Drosophila melanogaster: one gene and its partner. The protein of the gene in region 1 interacts with the protein of each later gene in a pairwise test. Each region holds a gene or a part of one and is shown on either strand. Other genes may lie near its edges. The genes, in order: gammaCOP and Sec10.

Region 1 (5,901 bases):
AACTGCATGAGTGTGTTATTTGTTATTACGAATCTATATTATTTTTATACTTGTGTGCGTTTACATTTTAAATATTTAATACGGAAGAGCGTTTCGAACGATTGATGGAACTGCATCGTCGATACATTTTACACAAAAATATTCAGCATAGTCGGAATCGGAGAATGTATAATAAGGAATCGATTGCGAACAAAAGCACAAGAAATTATGAATTCATGTGAGAAAGGTTAATTTGTAATTTAAGACGAATGTGGAGGACGCAGCGAACATAAACGATTCAAACGAGAAAAGAAATTTGTAAAAATAGGAAAACAAGAAGTACTCTAGGCTACTGCAACTATAAGTTATTTATAATTAAATAAAATACCATATAAAATAAAGTAAGTTCTAGTTATGAAGCAATTTCTCTTTGGAGGTGCGGTTTCCACGAGCTTGCAATCATTAAAATCATTTCAATGTCCTACTTTAAAAGCACCTGCCAAATAAACGCCTTCAGGTCGGGTTGCATTGCATATACATGTATTTTTAATATTTTGTTTCCATACTTAAGCTAAATGCACAGGCTAAATGGGGATAATAAACATATGCGATGCACACCGAAGGCTGCATCGCCACACAAACTTTTCGGAAATGGCCAGTAGCAATACTCAATGTTGCACATGCCGGATTGTGGACAGGGCTCTAAGATTATTACAGAGACAGTCGCTTAAAGGTACAAATTATATTTTGATTAGGCGTAACTTTCTGTTTCGTAGTTTCGTAGGGAGTTCAGATTACGTTCACAGCACGCAGGAACCAAAGGAGGTTCCTGCATGGCTCGCTGTCTTATCCAATGGCCGCCGTTATCAGCTCCGCCACGTCCTGGTCCGTGCTGCGCACCGTCAGATTGAGCGTGACGCCTTCTGAAAGCGCCAGCTTGGCCCGCACAAGAATCTCGGCGCCGCCTCTGAAGGTTCCTGTAAAGGGGGAAAAACTGTACTACTGATCTCAGAACTAAAAGCGAAGGATGCCTACCTGAACAGAGCAACGTATGCAGGTGCGTACCCTCGGGCACATTCTCAGAGAGGTTTGCAGCGCCCAAGCCCAGGATCTTGACTATAGTGTTGACGGCATCCTGCAAGGTGGTCACTGCCGACAGCACAAAGGTATCCTCGGCTTGTAGCCATTCTGCAAATATAGAGTATTACTAATCATTGAATAGACCCTATTTATCTTTCTGTGGCACCTTCGCTGTCAGCCGCATCCCAGGACACTTGGAAATTGTTCTTTCTGGTTTTCTGTATCTGATCGGCAACCGTCAGCTCCAAATCCTCTAGCATGTACTCGTCGTCATAGCCCTCCTCTGACTCCGGCTCGCCGGTGTTGGGGTCGCAGTCCTTGACCACAAATCGTAAAGTGGCACCAAAGGTGGCTGAAATGAGGAAATAGTTCGTTTTGAAAAAAGTTGTATGATTTTAATACAAAATTTATGTTATTTATAAACTTACCTATGGAATTGGCGGCGTCGGGCGGGAATTCTACGATGACAAAAGTGGTTTGCAGATCGTTGTAGGGTAGCTTGGGACATGGAATGACCGCCCTGGTTGTGAATCCTTCCGGCAGCGTGAGTTCCACCCGCACATTTTCAAGGATTTGGTCGGACAGCGTATTCAAGCAATCGAACTGGAAGACCACGTGCTGGCCGAATATGTGTTTGATGCACTGCACCGTGTACTCCGTTTCACTTTCAGTAAGCTGGATGGGAGCTGTGCTGCGATGGATGGGGCCCAGCACCTGGATGCCCGGCAGCTGTGCCAGACGTGCAGCACTCTCCTCCTCGCGCGTGATCTTCGGCGGCCGTGGAGCACTGCTGGTAACTAGCATTACGTCGTTGGCAATAACTGGCTTAACTATGGCCGCCTTGGGCACAATGGAAATATCGAAGCGTGTGTCCACGTCACCATTCAGATGTTCGACCAGCGACTTCTCCAGCAGAGCCAGAGAACAGTTCTCCCTTTCGATGATGTAGTTCTTGTACAGCTCTGGCCTTTCCGAGTTAAGAATGCTAAGGTAGTAGGTGGCACGGTCACGCACCTCGTCGTCCGGGTCCATCTGGCAACGACCCAGCAGAACGAGGATATTGCTTAACAAGGCTGGGCAAGATGCTCCAAACTGGGCCATGGCCGTGACCGCGGCTGCTCGCACAATAGGGCTCTCCAAGATGACGCGGTTGTAGATAAAGCGTATATACTTGGAGGGTGTGGCCGCAAAGGGTCCCTCCTTGCCCAGCAGGTGAAGAATCCTCACCGCCAGTGAAACGTGTTCACAATCCTCGATGAACTCGCACAGATGCGACAAACCGGACTCCTTGGCGTCCGCATTCTCCTCGATGATCGTGATGATGGTGTCAACTATGGAGGTCTTGTATTCAAGGCCACCCTCCTCGCGCAGCATACCGCTGAGGAAGTTCATCAGCACTGTGTGCTTGCGCGGATATTTGGTGCACAGAGCGCAAATGGCCTGCACGACCACCACCTTGAATTCATCGGAAATCTCCGCCACAAACGTGGAGATCTGCTTCATCAGACGCTCTACCGAGGATTCAGCGCCGGTCTTTAGCAGCGTAGTGATGGCCAGAGTGGCCACCGATCGATTGGAGTCCGTGATGAGACCTTCCAGGTCCAAGTTACAGGTGGTCACCGCAGCCGGGTGCGTCATCGCCACCTTGTTAAGCGTGCGCACAGCCGCAAAGCGCAACGTTGCCTTCGGCGAGCTGCAGAAAAGCTGGAGGATGGAGAACGCCGGCGATAGCATTCGCGGATTGGTGTTCTTGAGGTTGACAATGGCGTGGGCCGCCTCGTAGATGACCATCTCGCTCTTGTGGCGCAGACAGGACTCGATGAACGTAAACAAGGGTGAATCGGAAAGCTCCTCAGAGGGAATGTCCTCCTCCTCGATCAGCTTACAGGCAATGCGTATCTGGGGGATGTAAAACGAAATTAGTCAGATGTCACTTTAAAGGGAATAAGTGCATATCCATTTCATTAAGAAAAGTTTGGGTTCAGACTTCACTTACCAGCATGCAAACGGCATAGGGACTCTTTAGAGATCCTCTGGTCAGCTTGTTGACCAACTTGGAGACAGCCAGCCGATCCGACTTGCGGATATGGTAGAGCAGACCCAACGCGTGGTACTGTACCATAATGTTGTCGCTGTTCAAAGCCTCCTGGGCCTCGTTTGCCCACCTCTTGACCACGTCGCCGGCAGTGTTGGCCAATCTCAAAGAACTGACCAATGCAGCACAAGAAACTGCCGCGTTTTTGTCAACAATGCACTGCTTCATGTAGCGCTCCACGGCCTGCAACATGGTGTTATCCGTGATGCTGCACAAGGCCCGGATTGCGGCGGCCCTGTACAGGTCTTCCTTGCCGGTCATATCCTTCGTTAGCGAGCTAGTCACGATGATGACGTCCTCGGCAATGGAGCTCAGCTCCTTGATGCCCAGGTATACCATACGACGCAGCACCACGTCCTTAGATTGGAAGAGCTTCGTCATCGCAAAAAAGCAGTCGGTGGCCTCGCGGGCCACAAGCTGCTCACCCTGATTAATCAGGTACAGGATTTTGGTCAGGATGTGGATGCACTTCCTTGGGTTCACCGGCGTCTCATTGAAGGTGCGCGTCTCCTGAAGCACCGAGGTTTTTTCCAGGTTCTGGTACGCATTGCTCGGTCCTGCTGACGGATGGCCGCGATGTTTTTTGTGCGAGGTAAGGGAAAAATAGTTCATGTTCTCAGTCAATTTAGGGAAACCTCGATTTTTCTCGACTTTGTCGGGTTAGTGGGTGTGTGAGTGTGTGTCTGTGCCAGCGGAGCACCTTCAAGCAACTGGGTTGTCTTCGATTGGCTTCGCTGGTCGGCGGACAACTTGGCTCCAGGTGCTAGCTTGCTACTTACCGTCCTCCTCATCATCTTTCTCGCGGCGGAACGAACCCATTGTCTTGCAACTTTCGGTTAAATTGTGGGTAAAACAATTGAAATGGTTTTCTGGCTGCGCTTACACGTCACTCAGCGGTGCCCAGTTGGTTCATCTGTTATCGATGTGAAAACTCCAGTTAAGTATCGATAGCTCCGATGTTGTTCTTATCTTTAAAAGACAACCTTTTTTCTGCGTTTTGTAGGCAGTATATATTCGCCGATTCTGCACATTATAACTTTCAGTTTTCAATTAACTCGACACCGAGATCTGGTAGTTTTTTTTGTTCTTAAAATTTCTTGTTTCTTCACTGGATTGAAAAGGAACTAGTTGAGATTCACTTACTGGTTCGATTGTATTTATCGATAGATTATCGATTATGAATGGGCGGAAAAATAGCTAAGCTTTGAATTTGCTCCACGTTAACTTTATAACGAAATTGCTAAGAAATTGTATGAATATAATAATGTTTTAAATTTTATTTACATTTTCATAATTTTTTACCATTAGTTTGATTCGTTTTTTAAATGGGCATTGGCCGGAATTGTGACGAAGATTGCGAAGGCTGATCAATGCGATGAATTTTTAGTTAGATAATAACTTCGTTTATATTTATAATATACGCTATTAGTACATTTATGATTTGCTGGAGGGGAAGTTCTGATCGATAGATCTCGTGACCGTTAAGTACCGATTACTTTTCCTAATTTAATCGAGTGTTGATCCTGTTAACAAAATGGACGCCAGCTTTTTTGTCAGCTCTAGTTTGTTTTGACCAATTAAATACGACTTCGTATTGTGTTTACTTAATTTATGCGTGCATAAGCACCACCAATTAGCGAAAACAAGGAACCCATTATATTGAATTGTCAATTTCCGGCGCACTGCAAGTGCCGTTAATTGCATTTTGCATGCCGCGGGGAAATTCCGGCGCACGAAGAAACAGCTTCATTGCGTGTCCACGAGGCGAGGACCTCCGCCAAAACGCTAAAAAGCCAAAAAAGAAAGAAACCGAAAAGATCGAGACACCTACAGCATGAATTTATGGCCAGGCGATAAGCGCCGGCCAGGAGGAAAATCCGCCTGGTGCCCAAAATTGGACAAGGAACGTGTGCGTCAGACGGGCGGAGAATTTAGTAGCTGTCAAGGCATCAGCTGTGGCCCCTGGAAACACCTACAAAGCCACGAATCCCAAGTTGAAGCCAAGTCGGAGCGAACCTAAGGCCAAAGTCGGAGCAAGAGTTGAGACGTCGGCGCACGCAAGGAGTGAGCCACAGGTGAGTTTCAGGCTGGATGCCAGCCAACAGTAGAACTCCAATTTGTGCAACGCTCCCCCACAACAGCGTCATTCATTCTGGGGTACCTCTTGTACCAAGACTGGGTTTGTTCTGATTTCCAAACAGACGTGTTTCAAAGTTTTCCTAATTGATTACCTATATATGAATGTACATCAGGAATGATTTCGACGAGCAGTAGCAAGTGGTGTATACTTTCGGAATCTTCTTGTCCCCCATCGAACTTCGACTGTAATCCGCAGTTAGCTTTGCGTGCAAATGGCAAGGAATGCGGGCGGGGATGGGATACTCAGGGTTTGGTGTTTCGCTAGGATGGAAGTAGAGATCCCGATCCGCTGGTGGCCTGTGACTCCACAAGGCTGATGCTGTCAGTTGCTCTCGGCCGGCCATTGGCAGCTTTATGGCCGACTGGTGTGTGTGTGGGCCAACCTGCATACCTATCATAAGTACGAATATGAATCTCTAAGCACTTGCATTCGTTAGTGTGCCTGGTGCGAAAGATGCAAAACGGTTGCAAGTTCGGATTCCAGGTCGGAACCTCCCCCATCCCGACCGAGAACTTCACCGGTGTGCTAACAAGATGGCAACACATGAAATTAGACTGCGCCGATGCACGTCCAGCGATAGAAGAAGAACGAACTGATCGTGCCCAGA
Region 2 (5,286 bases), 7.4 Mb from region 1:
CATACCTTAACAAAGCCATGGTGTATAAGAAAACTGCTCGAGATATTTTCTTACCGTTTTTTTCCCCTGTGGAAATCAATTGATTTTATACGTTGTCTGAATCGACCCACCGAAAAGCACTGATCCTGAGATATACTTACCGCAATCCTCGAAGGGCAAAGATCTTAGGGACAGATATTTTTTGTAAACAGCATCTCTGGTAGACTTGATCGTTCCGCCGGCCAATTCGTGGGCAGCGCAAATAACCAAGAGTATTTTTAGATAGTAATCCATTAGGGCGCCGCGCATGGTTTAATCGACTGAGATCTTGATCGCGGTTTGATTAGAATATCGTCCAAACGAATTTTGCGTAGGTGTGCAAATAAGAAATGTTAATAACAATAACAAAGCAGTTCGTTAATCAGGATCACGGGCTGGCAACGTTTTTTTTTGGCGATACGATTTGCTTGGTGGCTATTAGGTGACTGACACCAAGAATAGTGGGTACCAACAAAAGTAGCCGGCCTCTCTTCGATTGGAGTGCTGGCACTCTCCGGGCAAACGTAAATAAATAAATAATTCGCGGACGCCTAGGCAATAAACTTTGATTTATTGACTGGAAGCCGATGGGAGCAAATAACGCTGACTTTCGCTTCAGCTCCAACTGATAAGGTCAGCGAATCTCTTTGAAGATTTCCAAACGGGAAGTCCGTGACGTAGCTGGAGGCGTGTGTGGGTCTGAGAGTGGGTGGTTGGGCGGCGGGCACGCGTGTGAGTCGCGCCTATAAATACACGAAAGTAAATCAAGTAACGCGGGCGATGTATTGATAAAAGTAACCAGCCACTTGACTTTAATTGAAAGTTAAAGAACATGGCAAGCCATAATTAAACATCATTAGATAATGTCCCCTTTAATAAATCAATTTAATCCGTAGACAGCGAAGGTGGAAAATTTTGGAATGTGAATCATTCTGGACGTCGAACTCCTCACTCAATAATACCCTTCAGATAGTTGGTGTTCTTGATGATCCTGAAATCAGTGCGCAGCTGAATGAATTGCCGCACCACCGACTTGTCCAGATAATTCTAAATAGAGTGGGGTGGATACAGATGGTAACGTAAGACTATCGCTCGACATCAAAGGCACCGCACACTTACCAGAGTGTCACCCGTGCAAACTTCTTGAAGGTTTTGGGGCTTAACAAGTAGTAAATTGCACAATGCATGCAGTATGTCAAACAGCTGCGTGACCAGTGGACTATCCAGCTCGCGAATGCACTTGCGATACTCGTTCACGTCGCAGATGGCACACATGGCGCCAGCCGTGTTGAACTGCATGGTCTGCAGGTGATCGTAGATTACTCGGTGCAACCGAGTTCCAAATTCTGTAAGAACATTCTGCAAATTCTCTCCATCAACACATTTTTTAATCTGCACAATCACGGGCTGCAGATTCTGAACGACTTGTAAGCAGGCCTAGAAAAGAAAAATAAACATTTTTAAGGATAGACAGATAAGCTCGATTTTACTAAATTTATATCTTACCGCTGAAGATATTGTATCCACATCTGTTTCCGGCTTGTAGTCCGTTTTCTTTTGTTCATATTGCAAATATACCTTGACCCAGCCAATAACAGCGCTAATAGAGCGATCAAGACCCTGGTCCAGCTTTGTCTCGATTTGCTCCATCAGAATACGTTTTTTGAACACATAGTCCGAGTACTTGGGTGTATTACTAGAAAAGAATACATTATACATTCTATAAAATGTAAATTAACAAAGTCCTAACATACCTCACACAGGGTATGACAGATGTGTGGCACAGCTTGTCCAGTAGATGGACAATGATGTTCGTCTTTTGCACCACATCAAAGAAGTAGAGCTGGGGAAAGACCCTGCCCTCGGCCAGTGGCACTGCTTGCAGTCCCAACTCCAGTGCGTAATCTACGTGCTCGTGCATCAAGAAACGAAGAAGGATATCGTTTAGCTTTATAGCATTGCCTGGTAGTTCGGTCTCGTTGGACAGCAGGCGACAGCGCTTAAGCGACGCCTTGGCCTCCTGCAGCATGTTGATGGCCAACTCTTCGGATAGGAACGTCTCCCCGCCATAGTCCTCGATGGCAGCAATATTTATGTTAGCCCGCGTGGCTATCAGCACCTCCATGTTTCTCCGAAAGCCCTTAGTAGTTGCAGTCTTTTGGTGTTTCTTGCTGGCATAGAACTTTTCCAGCTCTGTGGAACACTTGGCTGTGAGGCATTTGGTCTCCATTTCGGCGTAGCCGGCCAAATGCTTTATAAAAATCTGCTGTGTCAGCTTCTGTAACAAGTCGTCGTCGATCGTGGACATGTAGATTTGAAGATCTGTTGACAATTTTAGTGTGCTGCAAAGTGGTTGTGAAATGAAAGTAATCGCAAATTTTGACATTTAACGTAACTTCTGAATGACTCACCGCGAGTATAACTCATAAAGGGTGCGAAGATATTTCTCCTCGTCTTTTTTGTCCTCCAACTTAGTCATGGCGTACTGGTGAAGCTTCAGTTGATATATGTTAAGTATGAACTTGGACATAACCTGCTGCGGATTGGCAAACACCTTCTGGATTATCTCGTAGTGATGCTTGCATAGCGGTACAATGCCTATAAATATGTCTTTGCCACTGTACGGTTGCATTTGGCTCTGCTCGATGTATGCGTCTACACACTGAGTGTAACCCTTGAACTGGGACAAGATCTGGGCCAGTGTCTTCATGCGCTCGATGTCCTCGCTCTTCTGGGCGGTGGCAAACTCTTCGATCAACCGCCGCTCGACTTCATCGTATTTCTTTTCGATTTTTCTTTTGGATTCCGCAAAGTTTCCGGGCGGCAGATCCTGCGAGATAGCGTAGAGCTTTTGTATCACATCTGCGGCCTCACTTAATCTTGCGGCATCCGCAAAAATATCGTTGACAATCACAGGGCCAGCGGCTAAAAACTCGGACATAAAATTGAGTAACTTCTGGGCCTCCACTGAACGACTGCGTGGAGTGTTCACATTCTCCAACTGTTCGCCCAGGTGCATGATCTTGCCGGCCACCGAATTGATTTTTTCGTCCAGCTGGCCGAACACATCAATGGCCGTTTGGTGGCGTTCTTGGAGCTTGGCAATCTTTTTGGCGTGCGACTCCTTCTCCTGGCGCAGTGACTCCTCTAGCCGTTCGCACTTGCTTTGTTGCTTCTCCTGCAGGATCTTTAGGTCCTTAATGGTCTGGATGAAGGTATCGTGGAGGGCCACAGGATGAAAGTCCTCGCTGTTCTGGAGTTCATTGTTGGTGCGCCAAGTCAGACGCTCTATGAACTCGCCCACCTCAAAGGGTTCCTGTTGGTTATGATTAATAAATATAAGCCATAATCGGGCCTACGTGACCTTTGAGCCCACCTGTTCAAACTCCTCCATGTATTGGGATAGCATTTTAATGTATTATTAAGTTTTCGTATTTAAATGATCTGATTTAATAGGCGTTTCTTTTCTGCTTCTTCTTTCTATATTATTGTTGCTTCCGCTCAGCTGTTTCGTTTAAGGTTGCCACACTTCTCACTTTCTTTCAGCTGGCAATGTCGCTCGGTTTGTTTACGTTTTTGTTTGCTCTCTTAGCTAAAATTTAAATGTTTGGCGGTTGTTATATAACAAATAGTATGTTTACAATTAAATAAAATAAAACAATGCTTTTATGTTTGCTGATCTTAATCAAATGTTTATTATAATATGAATGCGCGTCTTACTTATTGCCTCGTATCAAAACCACTTTTTTACAACAAATTGCAATGTGCTAAACAAGTTAAAATTTCAAACATTAATATTTTTTATAACCTTTATAATTATTGCGTGGAGTCAGCGATTTATTAAACCTTAGTTACAGTTTTGAACTGAATATGAAAATATGAAGAACCAATAACTTTTTTTTGTAAATTTTCTGTGCGGGTTTTCCCAATAGACATTTGTTTAGCGAAGGAAAGCTAGTTCTTATTTGTTTTTACAAACTGCGTCTGCTGCTACTACTGCAGTTGATCCTGTTGCTGTTGCTGCAGGTGCAGGTGCGGATGCGGATGTGGGTGGGTGAGCGTGTGACCGATGCCGCCGGAGGTCGACGGCAAGTCCAAGGCGTGCGGCACGATGTTGATGGCACTGGCGGTGCTTGCCGAGGAGGCCAGATCCACGGCCGGCGGACGCACTTCGTCCTCGAACTGAGCGCCACCGGCCATGCTGTTCAGCACATCCGGAATAGTGGGCGTGTCCACTAGCTGGTGCAGGTTCTTCAGCTCCGTGGAGCGTAGGCTGGCGGATAAGCTCTCGCTCGAGGCCAGCGACGTGGATAGCGGTGAGTTGCGTTCAATGGATGAAGCTATGTCTGTGGGAGAATGCAATAGTAAGTATTCTTTAGCTGCGAAGCAGCTCTTGCACTCACCAGTTCTGTCCGTGTCCGGGGAACAGGTGTTATGACCTGTTGTTCCTTGCGGCTGCTGCATCATCATCATCAGCTTCTCCTCCATCTGCATAATTATCTTCTTTTGCACGTCATACTTCTTGTTCACGGACTGCAAGGACGACGATTTTTAAGGCTTATTACTCTTAATTGAAATGAAGTTACTGGTAAACACAGACTATTTCTTAAAAGTCCGAACTATTTCAGATAAGTATACGATTTTAAATATCAGCCCTACCTTAAACTTTTCTTCGTACTCATCCTTGACGGTGCTTAGAAGTCGCTTTTGCTCCGTCATGGCCTTCTCGCTGTTGGCTAGCTGGGCCTGCAGGTCGCTGATCTTGTGCTTCATGCTTTCCAGCTGTGATGTCTTCTCGTCCAGGCTGTGCCTCAGATCTTAATAAATAAACTGAATGATTAAACATCCGTATCATATAAACAATGAATAGGCACCCTTCAGTTCCAGGTTGCTGCTCTCTTGTAGCATCTGCAGTTCCTCGTCGCGGGCCCTGAAGTTATCGATCTCAGCCAGACGGTCGCGGCAACGCACTTGCACCTCACCCATGATAATAAACTCGGCCTCCAGTCGTGCCAGCTCCTGCTTGCACTGCAGCCCAATGTCCGCCTGCTGCTGGGTGTGTTGAAGCTCGGTTCCCAAACTGAAGACCTGACCTCGCAGAGACTCCAGTTCATAGTTCATCTCCTTGTGGCGCGCCAACTCGCTGGTGAGTCGCGTCTGCAGGTCATCGTTTGCCTGCCGCAGGCACTTCTTTTCCTCCAGTTCGTGCTGGTACTTAGCCCTCATTTCGCCCAGCTCCTCCTGGTGGATGTTCTGGCGCTCGTTGGC

What was found.
Region 2: the proteins of gammaCOP (region 1) and Sec10 interact in a two-hybrid assay, tested with the Drosophila melanogaster proteins (one large-scale study listed by BioGRID).

Annotation. Positions count from the first base shown.
Region 1 is NT_033777.3:31,570,311-31,576,211, reverse strand, and holds gammaCOP (coat protein (coatomer) gamma), read right to left. Parts: upstream 4,070-5,901; 5' UTR 3,974-4,069; coding exon of another isoform or gene 3,934-3,973; 5' UTR 3,767-3,933; coding exon 3,056-3,766; intron 2,959-3,055; coding exon 1,488-2,958; intron 1,412-1,487; coding exon 1,226-1,411; intron 1,168-1,225; coding exon 1,015-1,167; intron 957-1,014; coding exon 826-956; coding exon of another isoform or gene 769-825; 3' UTR 505-768; downstream 1-504. UniProt on the Drosophila melanogaster protein: The coatomer is a cytosolic protein complex that binds to dilysine motifs and reversibly associates with Golgi non-clathrin-coated vesicles, which further mediate biosynthetic protein transport from the ER, via the Golgi up to the trans Golgi network.
Region 2 is NT_033777.3:24,133,055-24,138,340, reverse strand, and holds Sec10 (secretory 10), read right to left. Parts: upstream 3,511-5,286; 5' UTR 3,428-3,510; coding exon 3,395-3,427; intron 3,335-3,394; coding exon 2,430-3,334; intron 2,361-2,429; coding exon 1,773-2,360; intron 1,715-1,772; coding exon 1,525-1,714; intron 1,456-1,524; coding exon 1,138-1,455; intron 1,066-1,137; coding exon 967-1,065; 3' UTR 803-966; downstream 1-802. Other genes in the region: Npc2f (Niemann-Pick type C-2f), read right to left, coding at 141-288; Tsc1, read right to left, coding at 4,012-4,364, 4,422-4,551, 4,678-4,835, 4,893-5,286. UniProt on the Drosophila melanogaster protein: Component of the exocyst complex involved in the docking of exocytic vesicles with fusion sites on the plasma membrane.